Cricetulus griseus: one gene and its partner. The protein of the gene in region 2 interacts with the protein of the main gene of each other region in a pairwise test. Links are inferred from orthologs where the notes say so. Each region holds a gene or a part of one and is shown on either strand. Other genes may lie near its edges.

What was found. The genes of interacting proteins can lie anywhere in the genome.
Region 1: the proteins of Hras (region 2) and Rgl2 interact in binary tests that used the Homo sapiens proteins (3 or more experiments, as listed by UniProt). The link is inferred for Cricetulus griseus from reciprocal best matches to the Homo sapiens genes HRAS and RGL2.

The regions. Positions count from the first base shown.
Region 1 is NW_023276806.1:232,079,955-232,083,014, forward strand, and holds part of Rgl2 (ral guanine nucleotide dissociation stimulator-like 2), read right to left. Parts: coding exon 3,029-3,060; intron 2,927-3,028; coding exon 2,876-2,926; intron 2,789-2,875; coding exon 2,491-2,788; intron 2,237-2,490; coding exon 1,985-2,236; intron 1,865-1,984; coding exon 1,761-1,864; intron 1,681-1,760; coding exon 1,596-1,680; intron 1,514-1,595; coding exon 1,445-1,513; intron 1,312-1,444; coding exon 1,237-1,311; intron 517-1,236; coding exon 484-516; intron 379-483; coding exon 257-378; intron 156-256; coding exon 60-155; intron 1-59. UniProt on the Homo sapiens protein: Probable guanine nucleotide exchange factor. Putative effector of Ras and/or Rap. Associates with the GTP-bound form of Rap 1A and H-Ras in vitro.
Region 2 is NC_048596.1:59,992,109-59,996,574, reverse strand, and holds Hras (GTPase HRas), read right to left. Parts: upstream 3,081-4,466; 5' UTR 3,006-3,080; coding exon 2,927-3,005; intron 2,056-2,926; coding exon 1,904-2,055; intron 1,717-1,903; coding exon 1,538-1,716; intron 1,405-1,537; coding exon 1,245-1,404; intron 1,151-1,244; coding exon of another isoform or gene 1,069-1,150; intron 585-1,068; coding exon 465-584; 3' UTR 459-464; exon of another isoform or gene 342-458; 3' UTR 43-341; downstream 1-42. UniProt on the Homo sapiens protein: Involved in the activation of Ras protein signal transduction. Ras proteins bind GDP/GTP and possess intrinsic GTPase activity.

The DNA of each region.
Region 1 (3,060 bases), on a different chromosome or scaffold from region 2:
ACAACACAGGGGCAATGGCAAGTCCCCGGGAAACCAGCCCCAGCCGGCAGTGCTCCTACTCTGTCCACTGTGAGACCACTAGCGTCGGCCGAAGCATCCGTGCAGCCGGAGAGTCACTGGTACCAGGTGGTTCCACGTCACAGGACACACGGTGACTGGAAAGCATAGTCATGGGTGGAGGTCACAACATGCCACCAACACATCACACCCACGTCCCCCAACCTGAGCCCTAGAACCCAACCACCCAGCCAGTCACCTCTGAGCTTCAGTTAATGGCTGGAGGCCCTGGAGCCATTGTTGGATATCGGGGTCAGGTCGGAGGTCATAGCCACGACATTCGTTCTGGAGGCGCAGCAGCTCCGAAAGGACAGCAAACTCCTGGGAAGGAGCCCTCAAACTGCAGGAGCCAAAACTCAGGGACCCCTGAGTTTGCCTCCCTCTCCCCATTCCTGGGACAGACAGGGAGCCCCGTAGTCATCTTACCTTCCTCCGCTTGTCAAAATTAATGTAGCCGTTCTGCAAGGGCAGAAGGAGAGGGGTGAAAGCGCTAACCCTGCTCGGGCACAGAGCACCCGCTCTCCCCAAACACAGCCAGTGCAGGAGCCACTCAGACCCTGGGAGTCCACCCTCTCCCTCCCATTCATATCCCAGCCCAAACTCGTCATGAGACAAGGTCTCACTGTGTGTAGCCTTGGCTGGCCTAGAACTCACTATGTAGCCCAGGCTGCCCTCTTCCCCCTGAGTACAGTGCTGGGATCCCAGGTGACGCTCAGCTCCACCCAAGGCTTTAAATTCCTGTCTAAGAGAAAGCATCTAACTTCTAGATGAGACATTGGGCTCACGGCAGGCACAGAACTTCCTGGACGCCTCAGTATTTTCCTTTGTCTGCAGTACTGGGGGTGGAACCCAGGCTCTTGAGCATGCTCGGAGGCCCTCACACTCTTTGCACATTTAATAGCCTGCGTATGCATTTACCCCTCCCATTAGATAACAGGACATACACAGACAGACCCCTGAAGTACAGAGGTTGGGAGGTTGGACTATGTGCCAGGGTAACAGAACCTGGCTCCAGAAACTCTGCTGCTTCTGCCCTGTAGCCTCTCTGTGGAAGGGTGTCTGTCTGACCCTTAGGTGCACTTGTCAAGCCTTCCAGAACAGAGTCCTCCCTGCCCTCCCTTCTTCCCTCCCCCCCCTCTCTGTCTCTCACACGCACGCACGCACACACCAACCACTGACCTCCAACTCATCCTTGGAGGCTGCATCCAGCATCACGAGATCCTTCAGGAAGGTCCCTAGGTATGGAACCACACCCTGCAGAGGGGTCAGGGTCAGACTCCTGTCAGGACACAGCTTTTCTCTCCCTTCCCTCCACACAGAACTGTCTTCATTCACCTCACCGGGTGAGCCGAGCCGAGGCGCCCCTTCCAGTCCCAGGGTCACTCACCCCACCCCTGGAGCCAGACCTTGGGGCTTTCTTGGAGTGTGGCTCTGCAGGGGGCTGCAGCTTCACTTCCTGGTGGTGACAAACAAGGTGACAGGAGGAGGGGGCTGGGCGGGGGCTGGGGAAGGGCTGGGGAAGGCAATACTAGCCTCACCTGCGTGAGGAGCTCTCTGCTCTGAGAATAATTGTCCTCCTCTGAGAAAATCTGGCACAGGCTGGAAAAGACTCTGAGGCTGTCCCTAGGGGGAAAGAGCGGGGCTCTGAGCACAGGCCTGGCTCAGCTTCTGCACCCAGGCTTCAGGCACTTGGGGTCTCCCACCTGGCTGCTTCCCCCCAGGCTGCCCGAAGCCTGTGGACAGGGCTGGACTGCAGGGCCGACACGACAGCATAGACTGAGGAGAAGTTCCGAAGCAGACGGCACTCCTGTGAGGACGGAAAACCCAGAGTCAAGGCTGTGGGCCCTCCCCACACCACCACCGTCCCCAGCCAGCAGGGCGGGGCCTCCCCACGCCACCGTCCCAGCCAGCAGGACTGCTCTCTTACCTCCGCCACACGGATCCACTTCTCCAAGAGCCGGGCCCTCTGCGGGGGTCGGAGTGGCCTCACGGTCACCTCACCTGGCCCCTCTCCAATTGAGGTGGCCCCCAGCACGGAGCTGACTACTGCCCCTGCCACCTTGTTGAACTGTGTGACAGTCGCTCGGACAGATGGGCAGAGGTGAGAATGTCCTGGCCGGTCTCTGTGACCCCACAGGCCTCCCAGACACTGAGAGGGGATCAGATTGAGAAACAGCTCCTGCAGGGCAGAGGTCACAGGTTAAAACTTATAGTCAAGCCAGGCAGGTTCCCAGTATCAGGGATCTGAGGCTCTTAAGTGACCAGGGACCAGCAGGGCACACAGCTCGAGGATAACAGCCAAGGGGAGGAGGGAAGGGAGGAAGGCCAGAGCAGAAGATGGAAGAAGAGCTCCAGGAAGCAAGGAAAGGATCTGGAGCCAAGGAGAGGTTAGTAAGGGGTCAGAGAGCACAGGGTCAAAGGTCAAGGTCTCACCGCATCTAGCAGGGTCAGCTGTTCGGCCAAGTGGTCAGCGAGGAACACCAGGACATCCGTGGGGTCAGCAGGGGAATCGCCAGGAAGGGCCAGGGGCTTAGGAAGGTTGGGGGCCCGGGGATCTACCCGGGCCCGGAGGTTTCGGATGAGGTCAGCACTGCCCCCCCCAACACCCTCCTGTGCTGCATACCCTGTCCGAAGCAAGAAGCTCTCAAGCCGGTCAAGCTGACCCTTGACCTCAGAGCCAAAATCCTCAGGGTGAGAGGCCAGCCAGGTTGAAAGCACGGAGATGGCTACCCTGGGAGAAGGGGAACCAGCCGAGGGTCAGAGGTCCAACCTCAGCTTCCTCAGAGGGGACTGACTGAGGTGGTCAGGGGCCACTCACCCTGTGGTCCTCTCTAGCTCACCAGGAGGCTGCGACTCGAGGGCTTCCAGCCTGGGGATGAGGAGAGGGTCTACCTATGCGGCCTTTTCAACCCCCGGGCGCTGTGAGGGCTCACAGGAAGTCCAGGAGGCCCCTCAACCCTTGGTCCCTCACCTGTCAGCCACAAGCCCAAGCAGGGCAGGCGT
Region 2 (4,466 bases):
AGGCCACAGGCACTACACCTCCTGCTCCCAGCCAGAGACAAGTCAAGACCATCAAATAATTTACTGTAATTCAACCTGTGCCCCATAGGCACCCGAAGGGAACTGAGAGGGGTTGAGGACTGGGGTGCCAGTGGCAATAGGGACAGTTCATGACACAGTCTGTTCCAATTGTCCATGCGAAGGTCTTGGTCACCTCTGTCCACCATCCCTGGACTGGACTGGCTCCAGCATCGCTTCCTTCCTTCCTTCCCTTCTCTTTCCTTCCTTCCGTCTGCACCTCCTCCCTGCATCCGGCACCTCCACGTCCTGAGCCTGTGCCGGGACGGGCACAAAGGACACCACTGACCTCAGGCAGGGAGATTGGCAGGATGGGGGGGAGCAGGGACATCAGAGTGGATATGAAGTTCATCTGGCTAGCTGGGGCCACTGCCCCAGATGTCTGCTGGTCCCTGCCTCACCTGGTGTCAGGATAGCACACACTTGCAGCTCATGCAGCCAGGGCCACTCTCATCGGGTGGGTTCAGCTTCCGTAGTTTATGCTGCCGAATCTCACGTACTAGTGTGTAGAAGGCATCCTCCACACCCTGGGAACAGAGGGACTGGATCAGAGGGGACTCCAAGGAGGAAAGGGGTGCTGTTTGGGTAAGAAACTCCCTGCCTGGATCAGGTAACACCCCAACCCTGGAAAACAACCCTTCCTCGGCTGCACAACCAACACAAATAGGGAGCTGGGCTCTGCACATCTAAAAGGCACAGGACCACTCTCCTTAAGTAGGCTCACTCTGGAATATCCTTCAGAGCAACTCGACTCAGAACTCTCCCAGACCCCCAGTATGGCTCAGGTCTGAACACCCTGCCCATACTTAGGGCTCAAAACTAACAGGTACTCATAGGACACTATGAGGACAAGAAGGACTAGGCTCCTGGGTCACCGCTCCGGCCTGGCTCAGGGCAGCTCTCTCCATGGACCCCCTCCTGCCCTGGCGCTGTGTCAACCCAGAACTGCAGGGCATAAGCCCAGACCCTGGCCCTTGCCTCCCTCACAGCCCTGCCGTCTGGGAGACTTACAGCATGGGGGCCGCTGGGTCACATGGGTCCCGGGGGGGTCCCAGAGGGTCCCGGAGCTGGAGCCAGAGCCAGAGCGGCTGCCCTGTGTTGAGGGAGAGGGGCGATGAGCTCTGCTCCCTGGCTGGGGTGGGGTGGGGTGAATCCCTGACTAGCTATGGAGTGGGGAGCAAGCTCACCTGCCGGGTCTTGGCTGATGTTTCAATGTAGGGGATGCCATAGCTGCGGGCAAGGTCCTGGGCCTGCCGAGACTCAACAGTTCGAGCAGCCAGGTCACATTTGTTCCCCACCAGCACCATTGGCACATCGTCTGAGTCTTTCACCCGCTTGATCTGCTCCCTGGAAGGGGATGGGGAGTATGTGAGCCAGCTAGCAGGTTACAGGCATGGCTGTACCCAGGACACTCAGAAGACATAAACCCTCAGTGTGCACATGGAACCTTCCTCACCTGTGCTAGCCATAGGTGGCTCACCTGTACTGATGGATGTCTTCAAAGGACTTGGTGTTGTTGATGGCAAACACACAGAGGAAGCCCTCCCCTGTGCGCATGTACTGGTCCCTCATGGCACTATACTCCTCTTGACCTGCTGTGTCTAAGATGTCCAGCAGACATGTCTCCCCATCAATGACCACCTGTTTCCGGTAGGAGTCCTGTAAAAAAAACAGAGCTTAGGCGTTCCACCTCTCCTCAGAGAATCCACAGAGCCCACCCACCCTTGCACCTCTCATGTTCTGATAGATTAGGTGGCAGCAGACCCATACCACCTGCAAGACCTAGCTATGTGGGCCTTCCTGACTCTTCCATGACCACTGCCAGAGCCAGGTAGCCAGAGCTCACCTCTATGGTGGGGTCATACTCGTCCACAAAATGGTTCTGGATCAGCTGGATGGTCAGGGCACTCTTTCCCACGCCTCCAGCGCCCACCACCACGAGCTTGTATTCTGTCATCGCTTCTATAGAGGCTGCCACTCCAGGAGCTCCTGCCCCACCTGCCAATGAGAGCCACACTTATCCAGGCCCGGGCCACTTGAGACTGCTAGTAGATGCCTGACCCAAAGGCCCTAACCAGCATTGAGCAGGCAGGCCAGCCACCACAGTGGCCCAGTCACTCACCTGTGGCACCTCCAGCTGGGACAGGGAGGCCCCCCACCTCCTCCACCAGCACTTAATGGCTGTGTGAGGAAGCAGGGAGAGGCCCCCAAGGCAGGGCTGACAGCTGAGAGCTTCTCCCAACCACGCACCCAAATTAGAAGTCGCTAGGTAGGCAGAAAGCCTCAACGGGAGGTGCCTGAGGGCTGAGGCCACCCCCCAAAAACAGGTCCTGCCACGGCGGACTCAGCGTGCCCAGGCAGGCCAGTGCCAGCCTACAACCGGCTCCGGCCCGCCGGCATGTGGGTGCAACCGACAAGTATTTACTGAGCGCCTACTGCATGCCAGGCGCGGTCCGGGCAGCGGGGGAAGGGTGGCTGGAGAGGGACCCTGCCCTCCGCTGAGACAGACCTTCCACAAGAGGCCAGGGAGCCTTCAGCAAGCAGGGGTGGAAAAGCGGCTGAGGGTGTGGGAAGCAGGTGACTGCGGGAAAGACTCACAAGGGGCGCGAGGGGTGACTGGGGAACAGAAGGCCCTGATTGGGGCCTGAAGCGGGTGTCCTTGTAGCCCCGAGGCCGGAGCGTGATGGCCGCGGGGCGCAGAGTCTCCGGAGGCCCGGGCGGCGCCTCGCCGGGAGGGCGGCTACAGGCGGGGCGGGCCGGGCCGGGCCGCAGAGGCGGGCAGCCGGGCGCTAGGCACGCTGCCGGGGTGAGAGGAGAGGGGAAGCACCGATCACCTGCGCCCCGCGCCCCACCCCACGCCCGCACTCACCGCTTGCTGGAGTGACTGCCCCCGGGGCCGGGGCCGGGGCAGGGTGGGGGCGCGGACCGGCGCTGGCTGGGCCGCGCATGAGCTCCGTCCGCGGCGGGTGCGGCTCGGGCTGCGGGCGCCGGGCGCGGACGGCGGGGACTCGGCCGGGCCCGCGCTCGCCCCGCCCCGCTCCGCCCCGTCCGTCAACTCTAGACAGTCGGTGATTGGTCGAGCTCCGCCTCACCGCGACCTGTTGTGGTTGGCTGAGCGACCCATCCGTCAGGAGCCGCAGCTAGGCGGGGCTTCCTGGAGTAGCAGAGAGAGCGCTGTCGCGACCTGGGTACTGCACTCAAATGAGTGACGCCTAGTTCCGAGGTGCGGAAGAGAATGAGGGAACCCGAGATTCCTCCGGAGAGAAACTGGGGTACGCTCGGGTTGGGTCGCGGGGCCTGCCACAGAGCCCACACTCTGCAGCCGCTCCAGAGGCCCAAAGGCCCTGGGAGCGGAAAGGTCATTCCGACCGGGACCTGGCGTCGGGGACAGTCAGCACCGCGGACGCGGGATACCAGAGGAAGGCAGAACCCGCCGGAACCCCAAGCTGCCTGTTCTCGGAGGCCGAGGTGTAGCGAAGGCCCCATCCCGAGGCAGCATCGGCCCATCACACCGCGCTCCTTGTGCTTTGGAGAAGACCCTCCCTTACCTCCCCCAAAACTCGAGGTCCCAACCCTGCAGCAGCTCATACTGTGCCCCATTTGAAGAACGACCCCGGAAGTCAGAAAAGTTGGTATTAGGGCGAAATGAAATGTTCCATCCACTCATGCAAGTAGGGTACATCTGTGTCAGACGCAAATGACATGTTTGCAACTTTTTGAAAATTTCAAAGAAACGAGTAAGAACGTCCTCCTTAGAAAACCGACAGGGCTTTCTCAGGTGATGCAGGCCTGGGGACGCGCGCTCACGTGTATCCCGGGGTGAGAGCTAGGCTCGGCCGATGCGGCCAGCAGTCAGATAACCCAGAGCGGGACAGAAACCTCTCACGGGCAACTCTCCGAACCTCTGTGGGCGTCTTCTCATCCGTCTCGCTTGCCTGCCACTCAGGGGAACCCTGCCACCGGATCTGCCGCGTGTCCCGGCAACCGTTGCTAGGGGGCGGGGCTCATCCTGCCGCAGCCCCGGATGCCCGCGGCTCACGAATATTTGGGTATTCAAATGAGGCCCCGCCCCCGTTGCCATGGCGCCAGGGCCGCAACCCCACCGCGGAGGAAAAAATAAAAAAAACCCTCACTTGAGAGAGCGACCGCCTTGGTGGAGGGGTCCAGGGCTGGGCCCCTGGTCTCGGGCATCCTGGCCCACCCCTCAGGTGAGAGCTGCCTCTTCATGTCCCTTGTGCTAGGGGAAACCTGGAGTGGGGCCTACATCTTTTGGGGCAAGACACACTGGACTGAGTAAGCAATAAACCATGAAGTGCAGTGGAAAGAGGTAACTCTTACTACAAAAATGTATCTGGGAAAGACAGGTAAGAAGTGCAGGAGTTAGAGGTCGGCCAAACCTGGATGGAGGT